Linked DNA regions of Coturnix japonica. The protein of the gene in region 1 purifies or fractionates together with the protein of each later gene. This does not show direct contact. Links are inferred from orthologs where the notes say so. Each region holds a gene or a part of one and is shown in the gene's direction. Other genes may lie near its edges.

Region 1 (3,910 bases):
AACCTGTTCCCTTGATACCTACACAGAGGTAGTATGGACTTTTAGCCACAAGTGCTGCCAAACACACTGCCTCTGTGTGGGCTCTGAGCTGTGACGGATCACTGCTAAATGCCACCTGATGTTACGACAGATCATGGAGACAACCACCAGCCCTTCACAAAACAATACAGGCTTGGGCTAATGTTTCAGCACTGCTGAGGTTTGTATGCGGATTCTATCTGAAAGTGAAAGCAGAAGCAGTTTTTGGAGACCTTTGCTGGGTGAGGAGACCGACAGCAGAGCTCATGTGTCTCCTGCAGTGAGGACACCACGATGCTCATTCCTCCTAACCTATAGACAGCAACACCAAACATTTTAAAGATGTTTTTAAGAGATCGGTACGAAACTATGAGACCAGGACAGCTGGACTAGATGGTTGTGTAGGTCATTTCCAACCTTGTGATTCTATGAAATATTTACAATCATGGAATCATAGAGCTGCTCAGGTTGGAAAAGACCTTAAAGATTATGGAGTCCAACCACAGCCTACCCATAGTACCCTAACTAACAGCTCTCTGCTCCACTGTGTCTCCGAGCACCACATCCAAAGGGATTTTAAGCACATCCAGGGATGGTGACTCAACCACCTCCCTGAGGAGCCTGTTGCAGTGCTTAAAGGAGTGTTTCCTGACCCAAAGCTTTTACTGGCCCAAGAAAGACAGCTTCACTTAGCGCTGCTTTAGCAACCCCACCACCAACGCAGGTTAGACACAGAAGGGCTCATGTGAGCACTATAGAGGCCAGCAGAGCACATTAGGGCAGAGCAGGTAACCCAGCACAGCCATGAGACCATCCTCCTGCTGGTTTGAAGCAGGGCACTGAACTGACAAAGGGGGCGTGGTTCGTGTGAATTAAGCCCATTCTGTGCAGGTGTCACCGCAAACAAGAGGTTCATTGCTTGATGCAGGTTAGATCTGTAATTTAATTTAATTGTAATTTAGCTCTTGGAAGGCGTAGCCCACATCAACCCCGCACGACGTCCCATAGCTGACAGGATGCTCCCGCCTCCCGCCGCCGCTCCGCCTTACGGCAGCACCACCTGACCGAGAAGGCGGGAGGCCGCGAGGGGCGGGACTGAGCGCGGCGCCGGCGCTTCCTGTTGGGCGGCGGGCGGGCCCGGGGGGGCGGTGAGGCGGCCGCCATTCGGCTGCGCGCCTCCTCACGGCGCCCCCCCGTCCCCCCGCCCCCTCCTTCTCCTCCTCCTCCCCGCCCCTCGCACGGCCCGAGCCCGCTAGCGAAGCCGGCCCGGCCCGGCCCGCCGCCGTGTGTCCTGTGTTGCGCCCGGCCGCTGGAGGTGCCTCGGCGGTGAGTGCGGTGAGAGCGGGGAGGCCCTTCCCGCCGCCCTCAGGCGCCGAGCGGGCTCCTCTCCGCCCCGGGCGGCGGGCCGGGGCCTTCCCCTCGGTCGGGGCCGCCTCGGGGCCGCAGGGCGGGGGGCTGCGGGGTTCGAGTGCGGGCGAGGCCGGGAGGCGGCGATGTGCCGGGCCCCCGCAGGCGACGCCTCCCGGCCTCGCCCCCACTGGAACCCCGCAGCCGTTCGGGGCGATCGGAGCCGGCCTCGTGCCGAGCCGGGCCCCGCGGGGAGGGAGGGTCCGCCGCACCGGGGCTGTAAGTCGGCACTGCCGGGAGCCGGAGCTGGGGCCGAGCTGTGCGATTTGTGGCAGGGAGGTGGAGATTCCGACTTCGTTCTTCCCTTCCCTCAGCCGTCCTCACGTCGAATTTTGTCTCGGTGTAATGCAGGTGGAGTTCGTAGCTCGAGGTCACCGCGGGAAGGGTATGGTACAGCGTGCCTGTGTGTGCTCCTTGGTCCCGTGCCGCTTCACCAGCTCAGCTCTGCAGAAGTACGTTGTTTTGAGGTCAGTTTTGGAAGCTAACAGCGCATTATTGCTAATACGGAGTTACACTGCCCTGTCTGAATGATATGAAACGGTAATTTCTTATCCTTAATCTTGATGTAGGTATGTCAGATACTTAGTACTTTAGGTTGCCCCTCGTTCTTGTACTAGGAACTCACGTTGCTCTGCAGACTTGTCCTAGCAAAGACAGAAGGCCCATGAGGTAGGTGAAGTGCTGCATCCTTCATGTTCTCAAAGCCTTCAGCATCAAGCACTGATGACACTGTTCAGTTTTCCTCTGAGCTGAACCTGGGACTTCATCGTGCAAGAGCCCCCTTGCTGGACCAAGTGCATGCTCTCCCAGCACATCTCTCAGTGTTGGTGGCTGGCAAAGTCAGGGTGTCGGAGCCTCCTCTCCTAGTGCAGTTTTAAAGCTGGACCCAGCAATCACTGCTGATGGAACACTGCACAAATGTGATTGCTGGTGTTGGCAGCGTGGCTGTGAGTAGTCAGGTTTCTGTGGGCTCTGTGGGGTAGCAAGAGCATGGTGCTGCCTCTTGTTCCCTGTGTGCTGGAGCCAACCCTCACATCTCCTCTGTGTACATTGGGAAGCACCTGCTCCGCTTCATCGCTGCCTGTGGGATCTGAGCTTCTGTTTCTTGTCAGCCATTGCACAGGTTTAGGAGAAGCAGGGTGTTGCCACAAGAGTGCTCCTGTCTACTTCTTGGCACTGCAGGAGTGTGTCACTTTCCCTTTTGCCTAAATACAGCTGCAGTCTGATCTGGTCCTGCTGGTAGAAGCCATGGTGCAGCTGTATCCTGGTGTCTGGTGCTGGGTACTAACTTTACAGTCAACCATCTCCATTGACAGAGAATGTGGCTGAAGTCTTTGCCTGAGCTTCCACCAATGGAAGTGAACAGCCATCTTTCTTGTGCAGTGGACAGGGCTTGTCAGAGCAGAGCTGTGATGAGTGGCACCCTGTACAAGTGAGAGGATTATCTGAGGAAGACATTTCTAGGAGTATGGGCTTACTTCATCATTTGCTTGATGAACTGATAGAATCGTGTTGCACGCTTGTGTGGGAGGATGCTGGAAACCATTGCTTCACACTAGTTTGTTGCTCATTTTTCAGGATGGTGTGGATGGCAGCACTATTTTTAGGTCCCGCTGGATCTGGAGAAAACAATGCAAATACAGGGTATCGTATAAAATGTATAACTTCCTTTTCAAAGCTGCACTGGCGCCCCTGATGTGCTTTGCACATCCTCATTCTCTGCTTGTCTCTCATTATGATCAATTCTTTATCAAGAGGGAGAGAAGTATAGCTCCTTTTGTCAGTGAGAACCAGGATGGACTGGTTTTGAAGGATGATACATCAGTCTGCATGTTGCCATATTCTGAAATTCTGCACATCATGTTAAAAAGAACCTGTAACTATGGGATTGAAATGAGATTGAGAAATGGAGACATTTTGTTAGTTGCCAGAGTCACTGTGTTGTGCCTAACACTGTGGGCCTATTTTTGGTGGCGCACAATGTCTCCTGCAGATTTCTTTTATGCCACTGGGAGGTTTGTGAGAGGTGTTGGGATGAATGGCTAATCCTGCACTGGGATTGTGACAAGCAATGAGATGCTGAATCCTGGAACTAGGTCTGGAGTGGCCGTAAGTCCTGCTGGGTTTGGGCTGTTCCTGTTGCTCAGCTCAACACAAGCTGAGTCCCTTCATCAGATTTTCACTTGAGTCCTGGGTGTTGATCTGTGTCCCTTATAGGCCAGCAAAAAGCTGTGGTCGAGCTAAGAGCTGAGCTGGCACCAGCACTGTTACTGTGCTTGATGCTTGTGGACGGGAGCACTTTGCTGTTCAGATTGAAATCTTAACGTCTTGGAAAAATCTGAAGAAGCTTTGTCTGCCCTTGGTTAAAGTTTAGTATTACAAACTCCAGAATCTTAGTGGAGGCTTCTTTGCTTCTTTTCTTGTCAGTGCTTTGTCTTGAGTAGAAGCAGGTTGTGTGGACAGGGCAAGTGTAAGTGCAGGGCTT
Region 2 (3,843 bases), on another chromosome or scaffold:
CTTCGCCAGCCGCCGGAAACAGCCGAAAGAGGAACGCCAGCCCGTTCGGCTCGCTTCGGCGATTTCCGGAATCAGCCGACACCGACGAAACAGGCGATCGGCTCAAGTTCGGCAATTTCCGGAAAAAAAAGACGCAGAGCTCACCGACTCCCCCAACCCACTCGGCAATTTCCGACAGCGGAAGGGCTCTCTCATAGGTGCCCGAACAGATCCGAAAAGGCCCGAGCAGACCCGAAGCGGCCCGAGCGTCGCTGGCACAGCGCTCCTTCTTTTTTTTTCCCTCTCTCCGGAAATTGCCGATCGCTGCAGCCCGTAGTGCGGGGTTATAATTAGCCGCAGCGGCCCCGCACCCCACCACCCTCGGCGGGCGGGAGCGCGGTACAACACAACGCAGCTGCTCCCCCTCCACCCTCGGCCCAGGCGGGAGGCAGCGCTGACCTGGAGCTGTGCCCGGCGGACAGCGCTGGGCCCGGCCTCGTTCCGCCGGCAGCCACGCAGCGCTCGCCTCCCTCCCGCCCTCCCCTTTCCTCTCACACGCGGCGAGAAAGGGTGAGTGCTGCCGAGTGCTGCTGGGTGCTGCCGCCCTGCAGCAGCGACACGGCACCGGGGCTCCCGCTTTCTGTCCCCCTGCAGCCCCGCTCTGCTCTCCATTAACCGCCAATAAAGGCCTTTCCCCGGGCCCTCTCCCTCCTTCCCTCCCTGGCGGTGGCGGCCATGATGGCGGCTGCCTCCCGCGTCCCGCCGGCCTCCCTCACCCAGTCGCTTTCTCTGTCTCCGCGAGGCATCTTCCTCCTTTTGGACGCCTGGCGCGGTCCTGCGCTCGCCCCCCGTGGGACAGACGTCTTGGCCCCCTCCTGTGCTGGCGGCGACGACGGGAGGAGGTTGCGGCTGGCGCGTAGGCGGCGTCGTTCGCTCTGCCCCGTCAGCCGCCGGCGCGCTCAGCTCGGCCCAACCCGCCCCGCACCGCCCGTCCCGCCCCGCGCCGCTCCCCGCCCCCTCCCCTCCCCCCTCAGCCCCTCGGATGCCGCCGCTGCCGCCGCCGCTCAGAGCGCGCAGGGCGAGAGCCGGGAGGAGACGGGGGAGCGGCGCGGCCGAGCGGCACTGAAGTCTGTATCCTTCTTTTTCCCCTTCTTTCCTCGTCTCGGCGGCACTCCCCGCTCCCACGTTTACTCCCCGCCGACATCCGCGGGGATGGAGCGCGGGGTGCGGCCGATTTTCCCCCCCCCCCCCCACCACCACCAACCCCTATAGCGCGGCGGCCGCGGGAGGAGTGGGCATGGCGGGAGGGCCCCGCGGGAAGGAAGGAAGGAAGGGAGGAGGAAGGGAGGAGGGAGGGCGGGTGGGCGGCGGGGCCGGGCCGGGCAGACAAAGCCGCCCGCCAGCGCCCGGAGCGGCCTCCGCGGCGGGGAAACGTGGCGGGGCGGGGGGTGGCGGGCATGGCGAGGCGATGCCCCCCCTTCCTCCTCCTTCCCTCCCTCCTTTCCTCCTTCCCTCCCGGCGGCCCGCGGGGCTCCGTTCCTTATGGGTTGGGGGTGGGGGGTATCGGGATCGTTCTTGTGGTTTCTTTCCCCTTTCTCTTTCCGATGGGGACGCGAGGAGCTCTCCCGCTCGGCCCTTTCCGCCGCGCTCCCCCCACCCCCCCCCCTAGCGGGGGGCTGAGCCCTCGGGCCCTGCAGGGCCGTGTGCTGTGCCGTGCTCGGGCCTGTGTGCGATCCGAAGTTTTGTAGTTGGAACGGGGCAGGGATGATAACGTGCTTAAAGAGGTGGTCGGTGTGAGAGGTGTGGTGGTGAAGGGGATGGATGGTGTTGGACTCGCTTGCTTAGGTTAAACGTAGCGTGTGCAGCTTAGCCGAGCTCACGTCGGTGCAGGGCCTTTAATTCGTTCAAACTTGAGAATCGGAGGGCAGCGTTGTGTATTAAAAGAAATATTCGCAGTTTGGAAAGCGGTGGGTGCTCTGTTACACTCCAGACGTGGAGCTGCTCCCCGCCGGATCCACAGTTAACACGTCTAAAGCTATATTTGAGTTAACTGCTGGAATCTGAGCTCCTGTTCTGTTGGGTTGAAGGAAATAAGCATCCCTGATGGTCCTCCCCCTTTTCCCTACAAACGTCTCCGTGCCTTAGAAGGCCTTGGAAAAACCTTTTTTCCCCCCCATCTACCACTTCGTTACTATATATCCCGACTAGGTAAAGGTGTGTTACTGGGTTATGCCGGACAAAGCAGTAAGCTGCTTCTTGTCCTGGATTTAATCCATCCTGTAAATGTTCTATGCCGTGAATACATGGGGGTTGGAACAAGGACCATGTTGTATTGGGATGCCTTTCTTTGAGTAACGTCAACTTCCTTTTAATTGTCATGCATTTTTCTAGTAAAAGCTCTGCAAGTCTGCAATAAAAATGGCCTCCAATAAAACTACATTGGTAAGTTCACGCACACCTAAAGTATGTAAGGATTTAATCAACATATTTTTCTTCAAACTTAATAACTTGGCATCTCCATTTAAAAAGATACATCCACATCTCCCCTCCCCAGCATTTTTCTGACCAAAATTTCAGGTCCAGAAAGTAAGGCTACTAGAAAGGACATACTCTTTGGCTTTAACAAATCTGCCATTTCTACAGAGACTTGTTGGGGAATACCAAAAAAAATCAAGGACTGTGCACTATTTCGTCTGTCCTGTTGTAGAAAGCACTAAGGATTTTTTTTAGCCTCCTTTCAGGATACCATGTAATTCATCGTTTATGTAAAAATAAGTAAAATCATGTATTCGTTTGATTTCTTCTAGTCTATTCAGAGAAATAGAAGAACAAACTGAGTAAAGGCGGTCATACAGAAGAAAAATAACATTACTGGGAAATGATGTGGTGTAGTTAAGATGCCCTTTGAAATTATTATTATTATTATTATCATTTTTTTTACCAAATAACAGTTTATTTGAATTTCATAGGAACAGAAATGATCAGATGTCAACCCCTCCTGAACGATTTTAATGACGCATTCATGGTTCTCAAGTCCCTGTAAAGCTTTGCTTGACGTTAAAATATGAACTTCTAAAGGCAGTTGGTTGCTGGAAAAATGATTTTAATTGCCATTCAACTACTTACTTTATATATAAATACATATATATCGATATATATATATATATATACACATATATGTGTGTGTGTGGAAGAACTGAAGGAATATAGCATGAGATGCATCTGAGGTTGAAGCAGGATGCGTGGATACAATTGGACATTTGGATAGCAGAACAACGGACTTATCATGCACTCAAAAGGCCCGTTCTTAAATTACTCCAATGGTTGCTAATTGACCCACATTGAGGCACGTTAAAAACTCTTCTTAACTCCTGGCTTCGAAGCACAGTGCTTATTTGATATTATATGATGGCAAACCGTTCTAAAGATAACATCGAGATGAATGTCTGAACTTTGTTAGCAATTGATTGTCCACTTTTCCCTATTATGAGGAAGAGGAGCAGTTACCAGCCCAGGGAGGGCCTCAGGGAAGGGAAGGAGTCTGCAACTGCAGTATTTTTGCTATTATGTTCAGAATTTTGCTGCAGGTCAGGAAAAATCAGTTATGGTTCCCATGGGAACCGTAACTAATTCTGCTTCATTGCATATTTGAATGCAAAACTTAGATCTATTGGGGGTAGTGTAGCTCTGGAACTGTAATTCTGCTTTTGTTACCTCACGTATCGTGTAACACTCCATCACAACGTCATGTCTCTGTTCTAGTATTGCCCCTTAAAGAAGGAGTCATTACCCATTGAAAGCCATCTCTGTCTGTCGGATGTGACTTCTGAATGGGGAGCAAGCCTCAGATGAGCATCCAGTGCT

Evidence for each region.
Region 2: the proteins of CHAMP1 (region 1) and CBX3 purify together in Homo sapiens (affinity purification with mass spectrometry; 6 studies listed by BioGRID and IntAct, with this or other methods). This does not show direct contact. The link is inferred for Coturnix japonica from reciprocal best matches to the Homo sapiens genes CHAMP1 and CBX3.

What each region holds. Positions count from the first base shown.
Region 1 is NC_029516.1:123,375,648-123,379,557, reverse strand, and holds the start of CHAMP1 (chromosome alignment-maintaining phosphoprotein 1), read left to right. Parts: upstream 1-1,166; 5' UTR 1,167-1,344; intron 1,345-1,776; 5' UTR 1,777-1,877; exon of another isoform or gene 1,878-1,892; intron 1,893-3,910. UniProt on the Homo sapiens protein: Required for proper alignment of chromosomes at metaphase and their accurate segregation during mitosis. Involved in the maintenance of spindle microtubules attachment to the kinetochore during sister chromatid biorientation.
Region 2 is NC_029517.1:29,453,696-29,457,538, forward strand, and holds the start of CBX3 (chromobox protein homolog 3), read left to right. Parts: upstream 1-993; 5' UTR 994-1,106; intron 1,107-2,370; 5' UTR 2,371-2,397; coding exon 2,398-2,421; intron 2,422-3,843. Other genes in the region: HNRNPA2B1 (heterogeneous nuclear ribonucleoproteins A2/B1), read right to left, coding at 756-785.